Oryctolagus cuniculus: one gene and its partner. The protein of the gene in region 1 interacts with the protein of each later gene in a pairwise test. Links are inferred from orthologs where the notes say so. Each region holds a gene or a part of one and is shown in the gene's direction. Other genes may lie near its edges.

The links. The genes of interacting proteins can lie anywhere in the genome.
Region 2: the proteins of VIM (region 1) and PPL interact in binary tests that used the Homo sapiens proteins (3 or more experiments, as listed by UniProt). The link is inferred for Oryctolagus cuniculus from reciprocal best matches to the Homo sapiens genes VIM and PPL.

What each region holds. Positions count from the first base shown.
Region 1 is NC_091444.1:43,373,004-43,377,492, forward strand, and holds part of VIM (vimentin), read left to right. Parts: intron 1-2,289; coding exon 2,290-2,385; intron 2,386-2,472; coding exon 2,473-2,634; intron 2,635-3,429; coding exon 3,430-3,555; intron 3,556-4,055; coding exon 4,056-4,276; intron 4,277-4,489. UniProt on the Homo sapiens protein: Vimentins are class-III intermediate filaments found in various non-epithelial cells, especially mesenchymal cells. Vimentin is attached to the nucleus, endoplasmic reticulum, and mitochondria, either laterally or terminally.
Region 2 is NC_091450.1:30,766,994-30,771,482, forward strand, and holds part of PPL (periplakin), read left to right. Parts: intron 1-1,628; coding exon 1,629-1,751; intron 1,752-1,828; coding exon 1,829-1,975; intron 1,976-2,393; coding exon 2,394-2,545; intron 2,546-3,277; coding exon 3,278-3,375; intron 3,376-3,556; coding exon 3,557-3,714; intron 3,715-4,483; coding exon 4,484-4,489. UniProt on the Homo sapiens protein: Component of the cornified envelope of keratinocytes. May link the cornified envelope to desmosomes and intermediate filaments. May act as a localization signal in PKB/AKT-mediated signaling.

The sequences.
Region 1 (4,489 bases):
GTGGCCCTAGACAGACATAATAGGAGTCTTTGTGTTCCCAGAACAGCTTTGCTGCAGGCTACATTCTCATTGAGAATGTAGTGATGTAAGCACAGTTCTCATTGGACAGAAGTATTTGCCAACATCAGCTACCTACTCTCTGGCCCAGACTTGGGAAGGCTGCGATGTGAAACCTTGCACACGCTACAGTCATTCTTTGTGTTTTGAAAGACCTGTATGGGGGTCTTTGACACTATCTCCATCAACAAAAATAACTGCAGAGTGTTTTTTTTTTTTTTTTTTTTTGGCTCTAAAGTTAGATGGACTTAAAGGAATTTTAACTTACAATTGGAATCCTAAAACAGGAAGATCCCCATCATGGCTTGGTTCTCTGGAACATTCACTGGGGTTGGCTACCAAACACACTCAGGTGAACAGTCTAGGATAACATTTTGAAGATTTGCCTCATTAATCGAAACACAGCAATGTGTGGTTGCTGCCTCTGATCACTGTTCCTGATTTTTACCCCCATAACATGATATAATAGATCCCCCGTTGAGGAAAAAAATAAGGGAAAAAATCCTCATTCTCTTCAATGATATAAGAAGTAAAATATCTATATTTTCCTGTGCTTAACAAGAAGCAAAAACACTAATTTTTTCCAAGTTGGGTCTTTTTATTATCACTCACTCCTTATTCACTTTTGCATGATGGTTTTAGAAGTGTCTCAACATTTTAAGACTAGAAAACTGTAAACTGGACCCCAAATGTAGTTGCTTATAAGAGAAGGGGTATAAGGACCTAACTTAGCACATTCCCTTGAGTGGAAATGAAATCCTAACTGCAAGATCACACATTTTTAATTGGAATGTAGAAGGAGAGCAAGAGCTGCAAAGATTCTTACATGCAAGCATTTGACCATTCTGAAACAGGTTAAGGAACTGAATCAACACCGGGCAAGTACAAAGACGGACACGCCCTTAAAGGACAAGTCAGGGAGTTTCAGAATAGTCCACCAGAGAAAGCAAAGCGAATATAGTTCAAATTTCTATTCCTTAATTGCCTAAACTGCACCTTTGTGAAGGCACACCCTGAATTCAGCATTGGGTGGCTACTTGGTATAAATCTAGCCTTGCAATTAACCATGTAGTTGCTTTGAAGAAAGAAAAAGAACTTACAGATATGCCAAAACTTTTTAAAAATTAATTAATTTGAGAGACAGGGAGGGAGAGGGAGAGAATTCCCATCCCTTAGTTCACTCCCCAAATCCCCTGAATGGCCAGGGCTGGCCCTGGCTGACGCTGGGAGCTGGGAACTCATTTCAGGGTTTCCACACGAGCAGCAGGAACCCACTTATTCTGCACCATTACTGCTGCCTCCCATTAGCAGCAAACTGGAGTCAAGAGCCAGTGGCGAGTGTTCAGCCCAGCGAGTTTTCAGCCCAGCCACTCTGATATGGGACACGGGACACAGGGCGGGCAGAGTGGACAGTGAGAGAGAGAGAGAAAGAGTCAGAGAGAAAGGTCTTCCTTTTGCCATTGGTTCATCCTCCAATGGCCGCCGCCGCCGGCGCCGGCGCATCGTGCTGATCCGATGGCAGGAGCCAGGTGCTTTTCCTGGTCTCCCATGCGGGTGCAGGGCCCAAGCACTTAGGCCATCCTCCACTGCATTCCCTGGTCCCAGCAGAGAGCTGGCCTGGAAGAGGAGCAACAGGGACAGAATCTGGCGCCCCCAACCGGGACTAGAACCCGGTGTGCCGGCGCCGCTAGGCGAAGGATTAGCCTAGTGAGCCACGGCGCCAGCCATGGACGGGCATCTTAACTGCTCAGCCAAGCACTTACTTGCCCTGTGCTGAAACTTCTTCTCTACATGTACTCTTATGGACATGAAATTGTAGAGTCCAATTTACTTCTATTATCATGTTATTGCAAGAAATTACAAAAAAAAGTTTTGAAAATGCTATGGCATTGATTTTCTAGATTAAAAAAATAATAAAGCCTTACTGGCAAAATATGGGCTCAGTAATAATAGAGTGCAGCTTACAATGTTGGCATACATTTATCTATTTTAAATTGGCTATTAGGCACCATGAGTACAGCACAGTGGGTCCAAATTCAAACTCAAAAAGCATACAACATAGCATAGTACTAAGTGACTTGTAAACTTATTTGAGGATCATGAAATTTATCAACCATGTTTTCCACAGTAAGGAGACCAGACGGGATATGTATGGTTAATTTCAAAAGAATGAGTGAGCTAAACCTACGCATCAGCGTCCCCCATGCCCTGTCTTTTCTCTTTTGAAAACAGGACGTTGACAATGCTTCTTTGGCACGTCTTGACCTTGAACGTAAAGTGGAATCCTTGCAGGAAGAGATTGCCTTTTTGAAGAAACTGCACGATGAGGTAAGCGGAGCAGCCTTTAGAGAGTCAGTGAGGGCAGAGCTGCTGTCGGAGCTGGCACGGCTGACCTCCCGTCTGTCCTTTTCTCAGGAAATCCAGGAGCTGCAGGCCCAGATCCAGGAACAGCATGTCCAGATCGACGTGGATGTCTCCAAGCCTGACCTCACAGCTGCCCTGCGTGACGTACGTCAGCAGTACGAAAGTGTGGCTGCCAAGAACCTCCAGGAGGCAGAAGAATGGTACAAGTCCAAGGTATGCAATGAGGCAGTGTGGTCAGAACAAAAGAAAAGTATTTTTTCGATCTGGAAATACTGCACCTGCCGGTAATTCCTAGATAGATTTTAGCTCCAATCAAAAGTTGGCTTTCGGCCGGCGCCGCGGCTCACTAGGCTAATCCTCCACCTTGCGGCGCCGGCACACCGGGTTCTAGTCCCGGTCGGGGCGCCGGATTCTGTCCCGGTTGCCCCTCTTCCAGGCCAGCCCTCTGCTGTGGCCAGGGAGTGCAGTGGAGGATGGCCCAGGTGCTTGGGCCCTGCACCCCATGGGAGACCAGGAAAAGCACCTGGCTCCTGGCTCCTGCCATCGGATCAGCGCAGCGAGCCGGCCGCAGCGTGCCGACCGCGGCAGCCATTGGAGGGTGAACCAACGGCAAAAGGAAGACCTTTCTCCCTGTCTCTCTCTCTCACTGTCCACTCTGCCTGTCAAAAAAAATAAATAAATAAATAAATAAAAATAAAAAAAAAAAGAAAAAAAAAAGTTGGCTTTCACTTATTCAAATTTTGTTGCTGCGGCCTCCCTACTGCTCACATCACTTCCTGTAGTCTAGCAGCTTCCCTTTCTGCTAATCTTCCTCCACCTACTTCAAAGAAAACCTCAAAACTTTGCACTTGACCTTCACCATTTTTAAAAAAGTACAAATGAATTCTGTTTGAAACTGTCAGCATCAGCATTCCACTGCTCTTTCTCTGCTTTAAGTGTAGACAGTGGGGCAGAATGGTGTGATCTCTTGAATGTGGGCAGTCTACATTACTGATGTCTTTCCAACAGTTTGCTGACCTCTCTGAGGCTGCCAACCGGAACAACGATGCCCTGCGCCAGGCAAAGCAGGAGTCAAATGAGTACCGCAGACAGGTGCAGTCCCTCACCTGCGAAGTGGATGCGCTTAAAGGAACTGTGAGTACCACACGACAATGCAAGAGTGAAAAGAATGAGCTCGGGCCCATTCTACTGACCAAACTAACAGTGATATCTGAAACAAAATTTTAAATGAAAAAAATATGACACACCAAAGAAAATGAGTTATCAAGAAAGACTCAAAAAGCAGTAGATGGAGATCTTGAAGGTTTTAGCTTACATTTAGGGGAACTTCAAAAGTTTCATGGAAAATAGAATTAAAAGGTAAGTGTTTCCTTTTTTGGGGGTGAGTTTTTGATGCATAAACTTTTGAAATCCATGCATGGTTTTTCATAATACACATTTTCCATGAACTTTTGAAGACCACTCTTATATCATTAATTCTAGTAGAGGGATATGGTACTTAATATTCTCCATCTAAGATTACAGTGGTCACCATTTGCCACTTCAGAAAAACATGGCAAATGATCTGTACATGGTTCTGGAAATAGCCGGATTTTTCTAGGAAATAACATTGAAGCCTTTCTCACCTCCTCCAGAACGAGTCCCTGGAACGCCAGATGCGTGAAATGGAAGAGAACTTTGCTGTTGAAGCTGCTAATTACCAAGACACTATTGGCCGCCTGCAGGATGAGATTCAGAACATGAAGGAAGAAATGGCTCGCCACCTTCGCGAGTACCAAGACCTGCTCAATGTCAAGATGGCTCTGGACATTGAGATCGCCACCTACAGGAAGCTGCTGGAAGGCGAAGAGAGCAGGTACGGAGCGCAGACTTTTGGATGCGTGAATTAAAAGTTGCCATTGGAAAGACAGTTTTGCTGTTCTCTTCTATACATTATCTCATGTTGTCTTTCCAACAATTCTTCAAGGTAGCTCCTTTCCATTTTGTATAGATGAGGCTCAGGGAGAGCAACTCGCCCTAGTCAGTCAGTAGCACAGCTAGGACTTGAACCCACAACTCTATCAAGGCC
Region 2 (4,489 bases), on another chromosome or scaffold:
GTCCCCGTGGGCGATGCCCTCACTGGCCCTGAGCAGAGAGAGTGTCCCCGTGGGCGCTGTCCACACGGGCCCTGAGCAGAGAGAGTGTCCCCGTGGGCGCTGTCCACACTGGCCCTGAGCAGAGAGAGTGTCCCTGTGGGCGCTGTCCACACTGGCCCTGAGCAGAGAGAGTGTCCCCGTGGGCGCTGCCCTCGCTGGCCCTGAGCAGAGAGTATCCCTGTGGGCGCAGTCCACACTGGCCCTGAGCAGAGAGAGTGTCCCCGTGGGCGCTGTCCACACTGGCCCTGAGCAGAGAGAGTGTCCCCGTGGGCGCTGTCCACACCGGCTCTGAGCAGAGAGAGTGTCCCCGTGGGCGCTGTCCACACCGGCCCTGAGCAGAGAGAGTGTCCCCGTGGGCGCTGTCCACACTGGCCCTGAGCAGAGAGAGTGTCCCCGTGGGCGCTGTCCACACCGGCTCTGAGCAGAGAGAGTGTCCCCGTGGGCGCTGTCCACACCGGCCCTGAGCAGAGAGAGTGTCCCCGTGGGCGCTGTCCACACCGGCCCTGAGCAGAGAGAGTGTCCCCGTGGGCGCTGTCCACACTGGCCTTGCCTGTCCCCGTTGGCAGTGAGGAGCAGGGGAGACTTGAACATGTGGTCTGTGTGGCTCCTGTCACTCCACCTCTCGTGCGCAGGGCCCAGCTGTGTCACGGTGTGGGTCAGGCCTTCATCCTTTAGTTGTGAGAGGCAGTGAGCCTGGGAGAGAGAGAGCACCCACCACTGACTCGCTCCAGACCCCTGCAGTGGCTGGGCTGGGCCGGAGCCCTCCCTGGGAACTCCGCCCAGGCAGGAACCCACGTACTCGTGCCGCCCCCCGCTGCCTCCCAGCGTGTGCATAGCAGGAAGCCGGATCGGGAGTGGAGCCAGGATCGGGCCCGGGCGCTCGGATACCATACGTGGGTGTCCCAAGGACATCTTAACCCAGGACAAAGGCTCGCCCCGTCGCTTCGTTCACTCTCCGGGCTGGATAGCGTTCTGTCGCAGGGTAGACCTGTGGTTCAACAGGAGCGAGTGGGGGTCAGGTGACAGACGCCGCGCCACCCCTGGTTCGCTGTCTGAGCCACACAGGGAGCCTCGTGGGGATCCCTCGGTCCTGCTGGTGGCCACAGCTCAGAACCTCAGCCCAGGGGACGCCTGCCCATGAGCGACACAGCAGGTGCGCGAGAGAATATTCAGGAACAGCAAGGGGCAGGGGTGCATCGAGGCTTGGGATGAAGGCGCAGTCTCGCACCATTTAACGACACCGACCTGTCCCGAGCGGTGCTTTGCCGTTGTCTGTGCCTCAGAGTGGCCTTAACCTAAGGGCTGTGACGTCCCCAGTCCTTATGGGATCCCATCACGCCTGTGGTCCGCCCTTGACCCAAGCCGCACGGTGCCGTGTGTTCCTCGCACAGAGGGGAACGGGGTGAAGGACCGGGACTTCCTGGTGCAGCAGTGGACACCTCCCTGTCGTAGGCTCGCGGGGAGGCGGCCGGAGAGGGGGCCGTGTCCTGCTGCCCAGGAAGGCCCTGGGCTGCACTTAGCCCGGATGGGGAGCCTGAAGCCACAGCCGGAGGCTTCCTGATAGAGTCCCCCCCCCCCCCCCCGCCCAGTTCCACAAGGATGTAAAGGACGCTCAGGAGCTGCTGCACAAGGTAGACTCGGACCTGAACCAGAAGTTCAGCCCCGACTTCAAGGACCGGTACCAGATCGAGCTGCTGCTGCGGGAGCTGGACGTGAGTGACGGCCCTGCCTCGGCCCCTCCCCCCGGGGGCGGGGCCGGTGGGCTCACCAGAGCGGCCACTCCCTGCAGGACCAGGAGAAGGCCCTGGACAAGTACGAGGACGTGGTGCGGGGGCTGCAGAAGCGAGGCCAGCAGGTGGTGCCGCTCAAGTATCGGCGGGAGACCCCGCTCAAGCCCATCCCGGTGGAGGCGCTGTGCGACTTCGAGGGCGAGCAGGTGAGCAGCCCTGGCCCCCAGCTGCCCTTTCCCGGAGGGCGTCTCCGCGCTGTCACTGCAGCCCACGCACAGCCCCACCCGCCCGCCCTGGCCTTCTTACCAGCTCAGCAACCCCAGGGACGGCAGCAGGAAGTCCCAGGGAGGGCTGGCGCTGGCCCTGGTGAGCCCCGTGGCCACCTCGGAGCAGGCACTGTGGCTGGGAACACCAGCCTCTCGCTGGCTAACCCTCATGCAAATACTGGGAACGGGGAGGGAGGGGAGGCGGGCTGCTAGCCCAGCAGACCCCCCCCCCCGGCCCTCCCCACCTGCGGGGCTAGAGCTCTCAGGAGGGCTTGGGGACGGCTGGGGGAGCGGGGGCGAGACGGCCCGGGCCGAGGCGGGTCTCCCGTGCGCTGACTGCCGGGCCCGCCCTCGCCAGGGCCCGATCTCCCGGGGGTACAGCTATACGCTGCAGAAGAACAACGGCGAGAGCTGGGAGCTCCTGGACGGCGGCGGGAACAAGCTGACCGCCCCGGCCGTCTGCTTCATGATCCCGCCCACTGACCCCGAGGCCCTGGCTCTGGCGGACAGGTACAGCCCGGGGCGTCTCGCCCAGCAGCAGGGGGTCACCAGCACCTGCTGCCCTCACCCCAGGGAGGCGCAGGGCAGGGCAGGGCAGGGGGCCGGGAGGCAGGCTGGTCTGGCTGCTCTGCTGACGGGGCCTGGGCAAGGAGCAGCTTCTCTGCCGGTGCCCCCGGGCCTCTGCAGGTGCCGCTAGCTGCCAAACAACTCGGGCCGGTCCCTACCCCTCCCCTGGGGTCTCACACAGCTGCACTGCTGTTGACTCAGCAGTTTGGGTGTGGGTTGGTCTGCTTGGGCCGGGGCTCACAGCATGTGGCACCTGCAGGGCCCAGCAGGCACCTGGGAACGCTGGGGAGTGAGTGGTTCAAGGAATGCCTTCATTTACGCATCCAACAACTGCTTACTAAGCACCTACTGTATACCCTCCCTCGGGGCTAACATCCTGGGGGGAACACCAGTGAACACACAGAGGATTTTGGGTAGCATGACCGCCGTGAAGCGAGGAGGAGGAGGAGGGAGGCGGTGGCGGAGGGGGGGCGTGTCTTTCTGAACCCAGGAGCGGAGATGGCGGGCGAGTGTCGCAGCCGGCCCTGGCCGTCCTCATCAGGCCTCCAGCCTCACAGAGCACTCGCCGAGTTGCGGGGTCCCTCTGGGCTGCTGACGCCGCCAGTGCCCGCCTCTCACCTCCGTGGCCGGGGGGATGGTGGGCTGCCCAGGGCTCCAGCTCGTTCTTGCCCACAGCCTGGGCAGCCAGTACCGGAGCGTGCGGCAGAAGGCAGCCGGGAGCAAGCGCGCACTCCAACAGCGGCACGAAGTGTTGAAGACAGAGAACCCTGGAGGTGGGCGCTGGGGCCCCCTGCCCGAGGCCCTGGGGGACCAGGTTCTGTGCTCTGGCCAGGGTGGTGAGGGTTGGCACCACAGGGAGAGGGGCAGCTGCCTGCCCAGTGGTTCCTCCTGGCCCCTGAGGCCCCTGGCTCTCACCTCCCAAACCCCAACGTGACCCATGTGCCTCCTTGGCAGATGCCTCGGACCTACAGGGGAGGCAGCTGCTGGCCGGCCTGGACAAGGTGGCCCGCGACCTGGAGCGGCAGGAGAAGGCCATCACGGGCATTCTGCGGCCGCCGCTGGAGCAGGGCCGGGCTGTGCAAGACAGCGCCGAGCGGGCCAAGGAACTCAAGGTACTGCTGGGCCGGGGCACAGACCGGCCCTGGGCCCCCACTCACCGTCAGGCCCCTGTGGGGTCCCGGGAGTCCACGCAGGTGCTCACTGCACGCAGCCAGGCACCATAACCGGATCCTGAACCGGTCGGGGAGGCACGTTGCTGTCGCCACCCCAGGTTCTAGACCAAGGACCAGGCCCTCGGCAAGGTGCCTGGTCCTGATGCCCCCCACCCCCAGACACGTGCCTAGGCGGAGCTGGCAAAACCCGTGTGGCCTCAGCGGGGCTGCCCAGCACCTGCTCAGCACCCGGCCCAGGCTCCCATCAGCAGTGGGGTTTGCCACTCTGAGCTGGGCTGTGCCGGGCTCTGGGATTTCAGCTCGGCCGCCAGCTGCCTGAGCCCAGACACACCACGGAGGGCCGCCGGCTTCCCCGACTCCAGCTACCTGGGCCGGCCCCGACTCTGGGGCACCTGGTGATGTGTGGAGCCCTGGCAGGTGCCTGGCGCCCTGCACCTGCTGCTTCTACAAGTGGTTTCCCGTGTCTTCCCAGCAGCCTCTGCGGTGGGGCTTACCAGTCCTACCTGAGCCACTGCTGGCCACACCTGTTGGTTCACAGTCCACCTTCACCGGGCTTCCCTGGCGTGCCGATTAACAATGCCGGCTGCAGGCTGGTGCCCAGGCTCTCCAGCCTCTCCCACCGCCCCTGAAGCGCTGGGGTCTCCTAATGCCCACCCCAGGACCATCCCTGGGGAAGCGGCTGCTGACCTGGGGGGTCTGGTCCCCACAGAGCATC